3 linked regions of the Rattus norvegicus genome follow. The protein of the gene in region 3 interacts with the protein of the main gene of each other region in a pairwise test. Links are inferred from orthologs where the notes say so. Each region holds a gene or a part of one and is shown on either strand. Other genes may lie near its edges.

What was found. The genes of interacting proteins can lie anywhere in the genome.
Region 1: the proteins of Fxr2 (region 3) and Nme1 interact in binary tests that used the Homo sapiens proteins (3 or more experiments, as listed by UniProt). The link is inferred for Rattus norvegicus from reciprocal best matches to the Homo sapiens genes FXR2 and NME1.
Region 2: the proteins of Fxr2 (region 3) and Fbp1 interact in binary tests that used the Homo sapiens proteins (3 or more experiments, as listed by UniProt). The two-hybrid records come from large-scale screens. The link is inferred for Rattus norvegicus from reciprocal best matches to the Homo sapiens genes FXR2 and FBP1.

The regions. Positions count from the first base shown.
Region 1 is NC_086028.1:79,403,305-79,406,886, forward strand, and holds the end of Nme1 (nucleoside diphosphate kinase A), read right to left. Parts: intron 1,729-3,582; coding exon 1,616-1,728; intron 921-1,615; coding exon 803-920; 3' UTR 636-802; downstream 1-635. UniProt on the Homo sapiens protein: Major role in the synthesis of nucleoside triphosphates other than ATP. The ATP gamma phosphate is transferred to the NDP beta phosphate via a ping-pong mechanism, using a phosphorylated active-site intermediate.
Region 2 is NC_086035.1:2,223,696-2,227,341, forward strand, and holds part of Fbp1 (fructose-1,6-bisphosphatase 1), read left to right. Parts: intron 1-1,629; coding exon 1,630-1,792; intron 1,793-3,646. UniProt on the Homo sapiens protein: Catalyzes the hydrolysis of fructose 1,6-bisphosphate to fructose 6-phosphate in the presence of divalent cations, acting as a rate-limiting enzyme in gluconeogenesis. Plays a role in regulating glucose sensing and insulin secretion of pancreatic beta-cells.
Region 3 is NC_086028.1:54,848,127-54,852,528, reverse strand, and holds the start of Fxr2 (RNA-binding protein FXR2), read right to left. Parts: upstream 2,861-4,402; 5' UTR 2,842-2,860; coding exon 2,761-2,841; intron 1-2,760. UniProt on the Homo sapiens protein: mRNA-binding protein that acts as a regulator of mRNAs translation and/or stability, and which is required for adult hippocampal neurogenesis. Specifically binds to AU-rich elements (AREs) in the 3'-UTR of target mRNAs.

The sequences.
Region 1 (3,582 bases), about 25 Mb from region 3:
TTCATGTATGTTGGGAAAGACTCTCCCTTCCAACTAAGTTATATCCCCAACCCGGGTGGGAGGTGAGGGTGGGGGGATTGTTGTCTGTTTTTTTGAGCCAGGGTCTCACTATCTAGACTAGGCTGACCTTGAACTCACACAGACTTGAGTGCCTCTGCCTCCTGAGTGCTGGGATTAAAAGGCATGCTCCACTACACCCAGCTATTTTGATTTGTTTCGTTTGACAAGGTTTCACTATATAGTCCAAGCTGGCCTGGAACTCATAATCCTCCTGCCTCTGTCTCCTGAGTGTTGGAATTACAGACCTGGGCCAACAGGCTTCGGTTGGCATCTTTATTTCTGATGAATCCCTGCTCCTAGAACAGTTTTAACATCTTCACACATCCTCACAGAAACTGCTGTCTGACTGGATGCCAGGAGAGAACAGGATGCAGGGGATGGGAAGGGAAATAGGCAAAGAAACGCCTCCTCGTCCCAGGGCGCTGGCTCAAACCACAAGGACAATGAAAGGAATCTCTGTGTGCACGCGAGGCCAATATAAGTAATTTGCATAGCATTTACATTCTGTCCGCTTGGGTTACCCAGAAGCCTGAAGAGGAGGTAAGCAGGGCAGAGCAATACAGCAATACAAAAGTACAGACAAAACACTTTAATCTACCAGTGGCACTTAACACTGCACAGGGAGTCACAGCGCCCAGAGGCTTCTTCCAGTTCAGAGAAGTTCCAGAAAGATCTAGAGCTGCTGCTCCCCTGCCTGTGAGATCAAGGGTCAGTAGACAGAAAAAAAGCAGGGGCCCTGCTGTCACTCATAGATCCAGTTCTGCGCACAGCTCTTGTAGTCCACCAGCTCCTCAGGCTGAAACCACAAACTGATCTCCTTCTCCGCACTCTCCACAGAATCGCTGCCATGAATGATGTTCCTGGGTGGAGAGAGGGAATGGTGTTACCAAACGGGAAGAATGAACTTGCCCACAGCCCCTTGCACTCGGCTTTTGATAGCCGATGCTGGCCAGGCTCTCTGTTCAAGAAAGGCATAGCCACTGGGACCAAGCAAATATGGGGGACCCTCCCTCCAAGTCAGCTTCCACCTTCAGAGGCAAGAAGACAAAATTCATGTTTAAAAGTGACTGAAACCTGGTGCAGTGGCCAGTGCCTGTATTCCCAGCATTTGAGAGAGGGGTGGAGGTTGGGAGTATCAGGAATTCAAGAATAGCCTCAGCTACATAGCAATTTGGAGGCCAGCTAGCCTACTTGGGACATTGTCTCGAGGAAACAACTAAACTAAAGGCTGAAGAGACGGCTCAGTTTTAAGAGCACTGGCTGGTCCTCTAGAGAACCTGGGTTTAGTTCCCAGGATTCACACGGGGCTCACAACTATCTGTAACTCCAGTTCAGGGGACCCCAGTTCCTTGGGCACCAGTCATGAAAGTACACATCATGCAGGCAAACTATCCATACACATACAGAAAAGTGAAAAATAAAGATGAACTTTAAAGGCTAAAATAAAATGAATTGACCCGCAGATGATATCATGTTCATCTCTAGACTCAGAAGCCCAAATTCTTGTGGCAACTAGCTTAGATTTGGGAAAGGGGTGAAAAGCATCGATTCTTACCTGCCAACTTGAATGCAAAAGTCTCCTCGTATGGTCCCAGGCTTAGAGTCTGCGGGGTTGGTCTCTCCAAGCATCACCCGGCCTGTCTTCACAACATTCAGTCCCTCCCAGACCTCCAAGGACAACAGAAGACACAGTCAAGGAAGAAAAACTCTCTCAGTAGAAAACCTGGTAGCTGGTAATTCAAAACAAAAGGCTCTAGGACTCCCTCATTCAACTAGACAAACAGAATGCCTACTTATGCCAGTACTAAGGATGCTGGTCACCTGGCCCTACTCCTAAGATCAATTCAGATCCATCCAGGTGGCAGCCAGCAACCTTCTTAATGGCACTGAGGTTATCCCACCACCCCAGAGGTAGAGGCAGGTGGATCTCAGTAGGGCCAGCCTGATCTACATAGAGTATTCCAAGACACAGCCAGGGCTTCGTAGAAAGACCCTATGTTGGAAACCCCAAGATATCAGAGATGCCAGTGTCGTGGGATACCTGCCAAGGAACGCTGCACATGGGGTGTAGAACCAGCTCAAGACAGAAGTGTGTCCCAGTCAATACGGAAAGGAGCAGGAGATCAAAGCGCACGTTGGCATCAGACACGGCGATGCAGAGTGTGGAGTTTGTCCTGCTGGGTTTAGGTCTTGCTTTGGTTCAGGATTGCCTCACTTTCCTCCTTTTTGGAATGGCAATGTATGTTCTATGTCATGGTATGTGGAAAGGATGTGACATGCCTTTTCATTTTTATTTGACGGGTGACAGGAGGCCGCCTTGAGTCTCAGAAGAGACTCTGAACTTAGGACTTTGAAACACTGCTGATACTGATGGACTGTGGGGACTTTTGAAGTTGAACTGAATGCATTTTTGCATTAAGATTGGGCTACAGGTCTATGAGGCCAGAAAGTGAAATGTGGTAGTTCAAATAAAAATGGCCCTAAAGGCTTATACAGATTTGAATGCTTAAGCACCAGGGAGTGGCACTTCTTGAGAAGGATTAGTAGATATGGCCTTGTTGGAAGAAGTGTGTCACTTGGGGTGCGCTTTGAGTTTTAAAAGCCCAAGCCAGACCCAATGGCTCCCTTTTCCTGGGGCCTTCAGATCTGGATGTAGAACTCTCAATTTCTCCAGCACCATGTCTGCCTGCACACAGACGGGCTTGCCTGCCATGATGATAATGGACTAACCCACTGGAACTGTAGACAGCTCTAATGAGATGCTTTCCTTTATAAGAGCTGCCTTGGCCATGGTGTCTTTTCACAGTAAGAGGACAGTGACTAAGACTGACCCTGTCTCAAAAGACCAGAACAAATAAATAAAAAGCTAAGTCTGGTACCTCCCATACCTTCCCAGCCCTGGTAACATAACAGCAAACCCTGACATCATGTGCTCCCTGAGCACTTCTCACCCCATCCTCCTCTTACCATCCAATCCAACCTTCTTTCTGTACTTTAAAAAGCAAAGTTGTGTCTGGTGCGATGAGCCAATACACTCTCAGTGGAAGAATCAAAAGCTCCAGGGCAGTGTGGACTACCTGAGGCCAGCCTAAACTACATGCTAAATTTCAGGACACAAGGCTAGCCTACATATTAAGACCCTGTCTCAATAAATCATTTTTAGAAAGAAAGAATGAAAACAGATACCCATTTTGTCTCAAAACTGTATCTAAAGTATGTAGGAAGGGGCTTGACATAGAGATACCAAGCTCATTCTTGCTTAAGTCAGTGGTTCTCAACCTTCCTGATGCTGCAACCCTTTAAAATATAGTTTGCATGGGGTTGGGGATTTAGCTCAGTGGTAGAGCGCTTGCCTAGCAAGCGCAAGGCCCTGGGTTCGGTCCCCAGCTCCGAAAAAGAGAAAAAAAAAATATATATATATATAGTTTGCATATGGTGACCCCAACCATAAGATTATTTTTGTTGCTATTTCATAACTATAACTTTGCTACTATTATGAATCATAATGTAAATATCTATGTT
Region 2 (3,646 bases), on a different chromosome or scaffold from region 3:
AGGTGAATGGGAGTCCTGGAGGTGTTGGGTGACACTGGTACCTTGGCGGCACAGACCCTGTTGAGTGTTAATTGGGCTGAAAGAGTCTTTTCATGAACAGGCAGCATGTCTCTGTGACTCTTGACTTCCTGTACACTGGCTTCTCTGTGACCCCAGGGTCAAGCCCTCTAAGATCCTGGAGCAAGTGTGGAGTATGAGCTTGACCGATGAAGCCACCTCTGCTGACACCACTGTAACCTCTCATAGCCCAGGGCAGGGTGACAGTCCCAGGGCTCCCGTTATTTACGGTCTGCCCACACATTGAAGCTGAATGCTCAGAAAAATGAGCTGAGTGGCCACTGTCTTTACCACATCTCAGGATCTGGTCATCACGGGAGAAAGACGTCAAAAGTTTTAAAAAGCTATTTCTACGGATGTTTATACAGCACACAGCCCCTTTCTGGAAAAACGGACTATCTCTCCTGAATTGATTATGTAACTTTGCTTTGTAGTCATTGCTGATTGGTGAATTCAGGCTTCTTCAGGGATTTGGGGTATCTTCTCTTTCAAACACAAAAACCAACCAACCAACCAACCAACCAACCAACCAACCAACCACTCTAAATTTCATGCACTTGGAAGTCCAGCATTGAGTGCCTTTCTGACCATCTAAATTAATTACCCACCTGCTACCTGACATCCATAGCTGCTCTCTCACCATCGCACTCATTTGGAAACAGCCATTTTCTGATTTGTCTTTTCTCACAGCAATATTAAGCTCCCTGGGGCCAGGGGTCTGGTCTGCCCTGTTCAGCAATGCTGCCCTAGCACAGTAGGTTCCCAGAAAGTTATTTGTAGTATTTAAGAAGACTCCCCACAAACTCACCTTGCTGCAGTGTAAGTTTCAAGGGATCATGTGCCAGGAGCCTAGCCCTCAGTATGCCGGTTGTGTCTAGCAGTGGTGGTACCTTTAAGAGGTGGGGCCCAGTGGGAGATGGAAAGCTGGCCCCTCCCCCTCGTGCTGGCTTCTTGCCTCACCAGCCAGGGCTCCTTTTCCCAGGCACTCTATTGTCATCCACCACAAAAGGGTTCTTATCAAAGCTGGTGTTTGTAGCTTCCGTCTCTCGTCTCTCGTCTCTCTCACTGGAAGCTCAATACCGGTTCAGGTTCTCCACACAGTTGTGACAAACTGCAGGAAGGTGCCTGTCTGCAGTGCCCCAAAACCTTTGCCTGCCCCAACTCTTAAGGCTCCTCAGAATCAGATCTCCCATCTGTATTCCTGAGGTGCCAAGGGCTGCGCTGAGTCCGTCCCCCCCCCCCGTGTGTGTGTGTGTGTGTGTGTGTGTGTGTGTGTGTGTGTGTGTGTTTTCTAATGGCAGCCTCACTCGCAAGATGCCATTCCTTCTGTGCACACCGGGAAGAGAGGGAGACTCAGAGACCAGAGATTCACAGAGCTGAGGTTTGCACGTGGTGGGGGTGAGGCGAGGCGAGGCGAGGCGAGGCTGTCATTGGCATCTTTAGGCTCCATCTTCTCCTGTCAGTACCGTTCCCCTTCTGATTTAGCAGTGGCCTTGATGGCGGCAACTTTAATCTAGAGGGAGAAAAGCTGTCCTCATGGGGCTCATCTTCTGTGGTTTTTCTTCCCTCTAGCTATGGCATCGCTGGCTCAACCAATGTGACTGGGGATCAAGTGAAGAAGCTGGACATACTTTCCAATGACCTGGTGATCAATATGCTGAAGTCGTCCTATGCTACCTGTGTCCTTGTGTCGGAAGAAGATACACACGCCATCATAATAGAGCCCGAGAAGAGGGTGGGTCTGTGTTTACACCCCTGAAGGCTTGCATGTGGCCATTTTCCTCCTCGGCACTGTGGAAGATCTCATTCACTTTTCTAAGCTACCATTACCAAGCTCCCTTTCTGTTCTGTCTTCCCACCATCCCATCCCAAACCTCTCCTCTGAACGTGGTCCCAGAGGCTCCATTGATCCTGCCCTCCCCATTTCTCCAGGGTGTGTCTGCGTCACTGCCGTGTTTAGGGATCGTAAAAGCCTGGTTCATCATGACCAATCTCCAGCCTTCGTGTTAGACCCACCGCCAAGCTGAGCTGCCTCCATTTTTTTTTTTTTTTCCATCCCTGGCTCAGGTACTGGGATTCTCTGGTGCTCAGATTGCTTTGTGAGGGCAGAGAACAAGCAATAATCTGTACATCCCAGCCTCTAGCTCCACACCAGCATATTGTAGGACTCAATGATAAACCATTGGGGGAAGATGGAGCAACTGCTCGGGATGTGTTCAACACCGCACTCCTGGGGGAATTTGAGAGTGGCATGCTACAGGGTAGGTTTATTCGGCTTCTATTCCAACAGTAGCTAGTCCTACTTACCGTCTTTCCTCATCCAGGTGAACTGAGGGCATGGAAGAGTAGAACTGGGAAAGAAAATCTAAATGCCCAGCTCGTCTTGACCTTAGTGAGAGGCAAGAAGCCAGCCTAAAGTGACCTGCTCTACAGCCCTTGTAAAGCATGACTACATGCCACAGAAGTCCCCCATCTTCTCCGAAGTGTTGGTCAATTCTCCAGCACTGCCCCTCTCCCCCATCCCCTCCACCCCTGGTGATATGCCATCATGGTGGCTGCTGTCTCATTTTCCAGTCTACAGTTTCCTGCACCTGTAGAAATGCTTTGTTAAGAACAGGCAATGGGAGAGTCCCCTGACTCTGGCAGCACACTGAACACCCCTCCACATCTAAAGACGCCGAGTCGGAGATGGGAATTTCCCAGTGATGAGCTGGTAAACTGGCTCATCACTGGGAAATGTTCGGTCTTGGCCTGCAAGCACGCTGTCACTGTAGTGTCCCTGACAGAGCTTGGAAGAGCCTGTTCAATGAGCTCTCGTGAGCTGAAGCTGGTCAGCCCGGGTGCCACAGATGCTGGGCTGACACCATAGCAGAGGGCCACTTCCTACTTCCTCCAGGAGTCATGGCAGGGATTTTGTTGAGAAATCTGTGCACGACAGTGTAGAATATCTGTAGAGAGAGTCAGCAAAAAAGCCGATGGCCAATGAGCTGAGGCGGGAAATAGGAGGGGGGACACTGGCAGGAAGAGAGGATTCCGGGGAATAGTAAGAGATAAAAGAGAGACACAGGGAGAGCCAAGAGAGATGAGACAGGAGACAGACCCAGGAGACATAGACCAGCAGATAAATGAACCTAGGGAGATGAGAAGGAATAAGTGGACTGGGTAATTAACCACGTGGTAGATATCGAATAGTTTAAATGGGTTAAATAAGTCATGAGCTCATCAGGGAATGAACCAAAGCTTATGGCCAAGGCATTTAATAATAACTAACCTCAGAGTCTGTGAAGGAACAATGGATAGAATACGTTTACAAATAGTGCTGAAAGTGAGACGCCATTTGTAATAATTTAATAATCGTTTTTTTTCTCTTTCAATTTCTGCTCCGGGATGACAACTCTGAGATTAAATATTTATTAACAAATACCCAGGCTATAAGCTTTAGCTCCTTCCTGGCTAGCTGATAACTTATTTAACCGTTTAAACTATTTTATGTCTACAACTTGGTTGGGTTAACTATCCTTCAGTCCTGGCCCACTTTTTGCTTCTCATCTCTTCAGCGTCCCCCTCAGCGTCTCTCTGAACTCATCTA
Region 3 (4,402 bases):
AGATCTGGTATCTATAGGCCCTAGGAAAAAAATCAAAGTAAAACACAGTTTTTTGAAAGGAGAAAGGGATCTCCCCAAACTTAAAAAGATCTAAAAGACAGTTAATACTCCCTTACTCACATCAAAGTTTGCTGAGTCATGAATATTAATCAACTTGGAATACGCAAGTATCTACAGTGTACACTGAGTTTAAAAAGGATTAGTCTAATTTTAGGGAATTGCCTTTTACTCAGTCATGGAGCAGAAAGTGAAGTGGCCAGAACACAAAATCTATGTTATTTGGCTTTTATTCAACTGTTAACTCTATACTATCAAAGAATCCTGTCTCTGCTTCACTCAAATCTATCACTGCTATGGCCCATAGGCCCATAGGATAAAATGACAAAAGTCAAAAGAGACTTTCTGTTTGCTACCCATATGTGTAACAGAAAACATGTCCCTTTGCAACCACTTCATACAGTTAATTTGAACTGAGCACTGATCTGTCCCATGTCCCAGCTGCGCATGGCTTCCATGCTTCCTTAAACCAAAAGCAAATATCTTATCTTGATCTCACACTCAATTGAAGAATCACTTTTCAAACTAGGAGTGGTTGTGGATGCTGCTTTTAATCCCAGCACTCAACAAAGGCAAACCTATCTCAGTGAGTTTGAGTTCAGGGCAGCCAAAGCTACAAAGAGAAATCCTGTCCCCAAAAATCAAAGCAAAGAAAAAAAAAAAAAAAAAAAAAGGAAAAGAAAAATATGATATAGATATATATATAGATATATATATACATATCTCACTTTTCTTGGAATTTAACATTTTGGGGTGAGAAAGATACAGATGAAGGCTAACATATCAAGAAAAATAGAACTAACAACTTATAGAGTACTTTTTGGTTTTGTTTGGGTTGTTTTTTCAGTCTGATTTCATTCTCCACACTAGTTTTGAACTTCAACAATCCTACTTCAGTCTTCCAAGTCCTAGGATTAGAGTAGGCACCACCATACCCAGCCTGAGGACACTTTTAACAAAGGTAATACAAATGTGGGGGAAAGGAGCCCCAGAGCCCCATCAGAGCCCAAAAGGAATTAAGAGACTTTTGCTACAGAAAACAGAAATGTTACAAAGACATTCTTCTAGTAAGAAAAAAAGTACCAAGAGTTAGGAAAGTGACAGGGAACCTTCTTCAGCTATACAAAGGATAGATAGGTGGACCTCAATGAGGATCCACAGGAGTACAAAAGTACCAAGACTTAATTGAGAGGCTAAATTAAAGCTAGGAGATATGTGTACCCATAGGCACTGGGTGAAGAACGTGATCAGAAAAGGGGAAATTGCCATGGCCTTCACAGTGGGTAACTAACGGGTCAGTTGAAGTGGGGGTAGGAAACACCTACAGAGGCGGGGCAGACCCGTCCCTTTTCAGCTACAAAAAGATACAATTTCATAGTAGTCAAAGTTATTTCCAAGGGCATGAGAAAGTAGAAAGTTCTACTAGGGTAGGGGGACAGACAACCAGAAGAAACATGAAGGAAAAAGGAATCTCATCTCCCATCTAATGCTATGAAAATTCTTCTTCTCCAGAATGAAAGGAGTAAGAGAGGAACCAAAATTTCCAGGACAATTCCATCCAAAAAAATGCAGAAGAGGTTCAGAACCCCACAAGATCAGATGAAGAAAATACCTGAGGGGTGAGAAGAATCAGTCTGAATCTAAATTAGGGGTGAAGGGGATCCAGAATGGACTCAGATACAGAAGATGGGGTGGATAATGGATAGAAAGAAAAAACAAAAGTTCTGGTCTGGCATGGTGGCTCAATCTATAATCCCAGAACTGTAACCCTAGGCTGAGGAAGGAGTACAGAAGAGTTCAAGTCCAGCCAGGGAATCTTGTCCCAACCACACCCCTCAAAAAAGTTCACAGGAATCAAATCTTGGACAAAGAAAAAGCTGAAATAAGCAATTCTGAAAGCTACTTTTTTCTTTCCAAAAAGACTGTCAACAAGCAGAAATCAGAAGAACAGAAGCATGTGGAGATGGCCTTTTAGAGATGGTGAGGCTTAAACTTACCAAGAAGATATAGGAATGACCTAAATACATCTAGAGTCAAAGAGATAAAACACGAATCCATCCCTGGAGAGCTGGCTTTGGTATAAAGGTGTGGTAGGTGACAGACTTGTCCAACAAATCCACTAAATGGCTGGCTGGCTGGCTGATAAAACCTGAGGCCAAAGATGCTAAAGTAACAAATGGGTTCTGACCATTTCTTGTCAGACTGGGAACAGGAATGTAAGATGAAAGTTGAGCAAATGGTTCTAGAGCCAGTAGGCAAAGAAGCCTCCCTGAAGACCGAAGACCTAATATGGCACAGTGGACCTTCACAAGGGGGTCATGTAGGAAAAGAAAGGGAATCCTCCATGTGCTTGGCTGTAGGGGAGATGTGATTAAAAGCTGAAGTATCTCCTACACTAAAAAACAAGAAAAGTCGATTAGAAGCTAAGAAAAGGGGTTTCTCCAGGGTTCCCATCCACGCATAGTAATGACCTGATGTTCATGCCTTCAGCTGAGGATAAAAGCAGGTGTAATAGCGGGCTCAAAAATAAAAGCACGAGGGTTAACTCCCACGATCTCCCCGGGAGGGTTTCGAGTGGGAACGTGGGTCGAAGGTTCGAAGGGTCAGGACTAAGCTCCAGAAACTCGATCCCGCTGCACTCTTCCCTGCCTCGGCTGGGGGAGGGGGCTAAGGAGTGTGTCCCGGGTCGACGCGCCGTCTCACCTTGTAGAAGGCCCCGTTGGAGCCCCGCACCTCGACGGGCAGTCCCGGCTCCACATCCCCCCCAGAGGCCAGGCCGCCCATGGCGCCGCCACCACCTCCGACTGCCCCGGCAGCAGCTGAAACAGAGCCCTGAGTGCGGGCCGGGCCGGGCCCCCGGCGTCTCCCAGGAGGAGGAGCCGGAGGGGGAGCCGCGGGGGGCGGGAGCCGGGCCGGCCCCACGGCGGCCCTGCTACAGCCGACGAGCAGGGGGCCGGGGCCGGGCCGCTCCCCGTCCGCCGCCGCCGCTGCCTTGGTCTCCGCCACCGTGAGGGAAACGGCCGCCGCCGCCGCCGCCTTCGTCACCTCAGCTTCCGCCCGCCGGCGCCCCCGCTGCTGCCTCAGTCCCGGGACCCGCTGCTGCCGCTGCCGCTCCACGGCCTCCACCTCCCCCTGCCGCCGCCGCCTACTGCGCAGGCGCACAGGGCACCCGCCCGCCGCGCGCGGAGCCGGAGGGCCAAGGCGCAGGCGTCTAGGCTAGCGACCTAGCTCCCGCTCGCCAGCGCGTCAGGGCTTCCACATTCTCTTGCACTCTCTCACGCCCCCTCCTGGTCGCGTCTCTGCGCTTGCGCAGAACGAGATGAGCGCTCTATCTGTACCGCTCCAACCTTCCACTGTCCCTGTCCCTTCCTTTCCCCGCCCCACAACACTGGAAGCAAACCAATCAAGGGAAGAGAGGGGCCGCGCTCGCTCCGTCGGATTGGACTTCCGCCTCCACAAAGTGAGCCCCCATGGAGCCTGGGCAATTTAGGGATGGGCATGCGCCGGAATGACTGCTTGGTCACTTTCACCACCTTTGTCTTTCTCGGTGCGCACACTCCAAAGGGGGGCTGGGAGGGTTGGGACCGAAAGGAAAAAAACTGCCCAGTGCGCAGGCGCTGGGCTTTGGTGTCCATGCGCATGTGTTGACTCTCTGCATCCGTAGGAGAATCAAGAGTCACGGTTCTTGGCTTGAGTAGATTTTTTTTTTTTTAAGTTTTGTGAGACAGGGTCTCCTGTATCCTAGGCTGACCGTGTAGTGCGGGAATGACCTTGAATTCCTGATCCTCCAACCTTCGCCTCCCAAGTGCAAAAATTACAGGCATGTCATTTCCATGCTTGCCCTAAGTTGATTCTAATATTCTAGTAAACTCAATGCCCTGTGAAAAACAAAGTGCCACATAACCTGATACATAAATGCTGAGGAGATTCAAAACAGGAAAAATTGTCACAGAGTAACTAAAACATCCTGGCCTGGAAAGATGGCTCAACTATCAACCTTAACAACTGGAGTTGTATTCCTAGACCCACAAGATGGAAGGAGATATCCCCCACCTCCTGCAAGTTGTCTCCTGACCATCACACATATGACATCATTCATGGTCACCCACACATATAACAGAATTTCTTTTTAAGTAAAAATAAGGAATGTTAAGTGGAGAGATGTCAGCTAGGGGCTGGAGTGATGGCTCAGTGGTTAGAGCGCTGACTGCTCTTCCAGAGGTCCTGAGTTCAATTCCCAGCAACCACATGGTGGTTCACAACCATCTGTAATGGGATCTGATGCCCTCTTCTGGTGCATCTGAAGACAGCTACAATGTACTCAGGGGCCTCTGCCTCCCCCGTG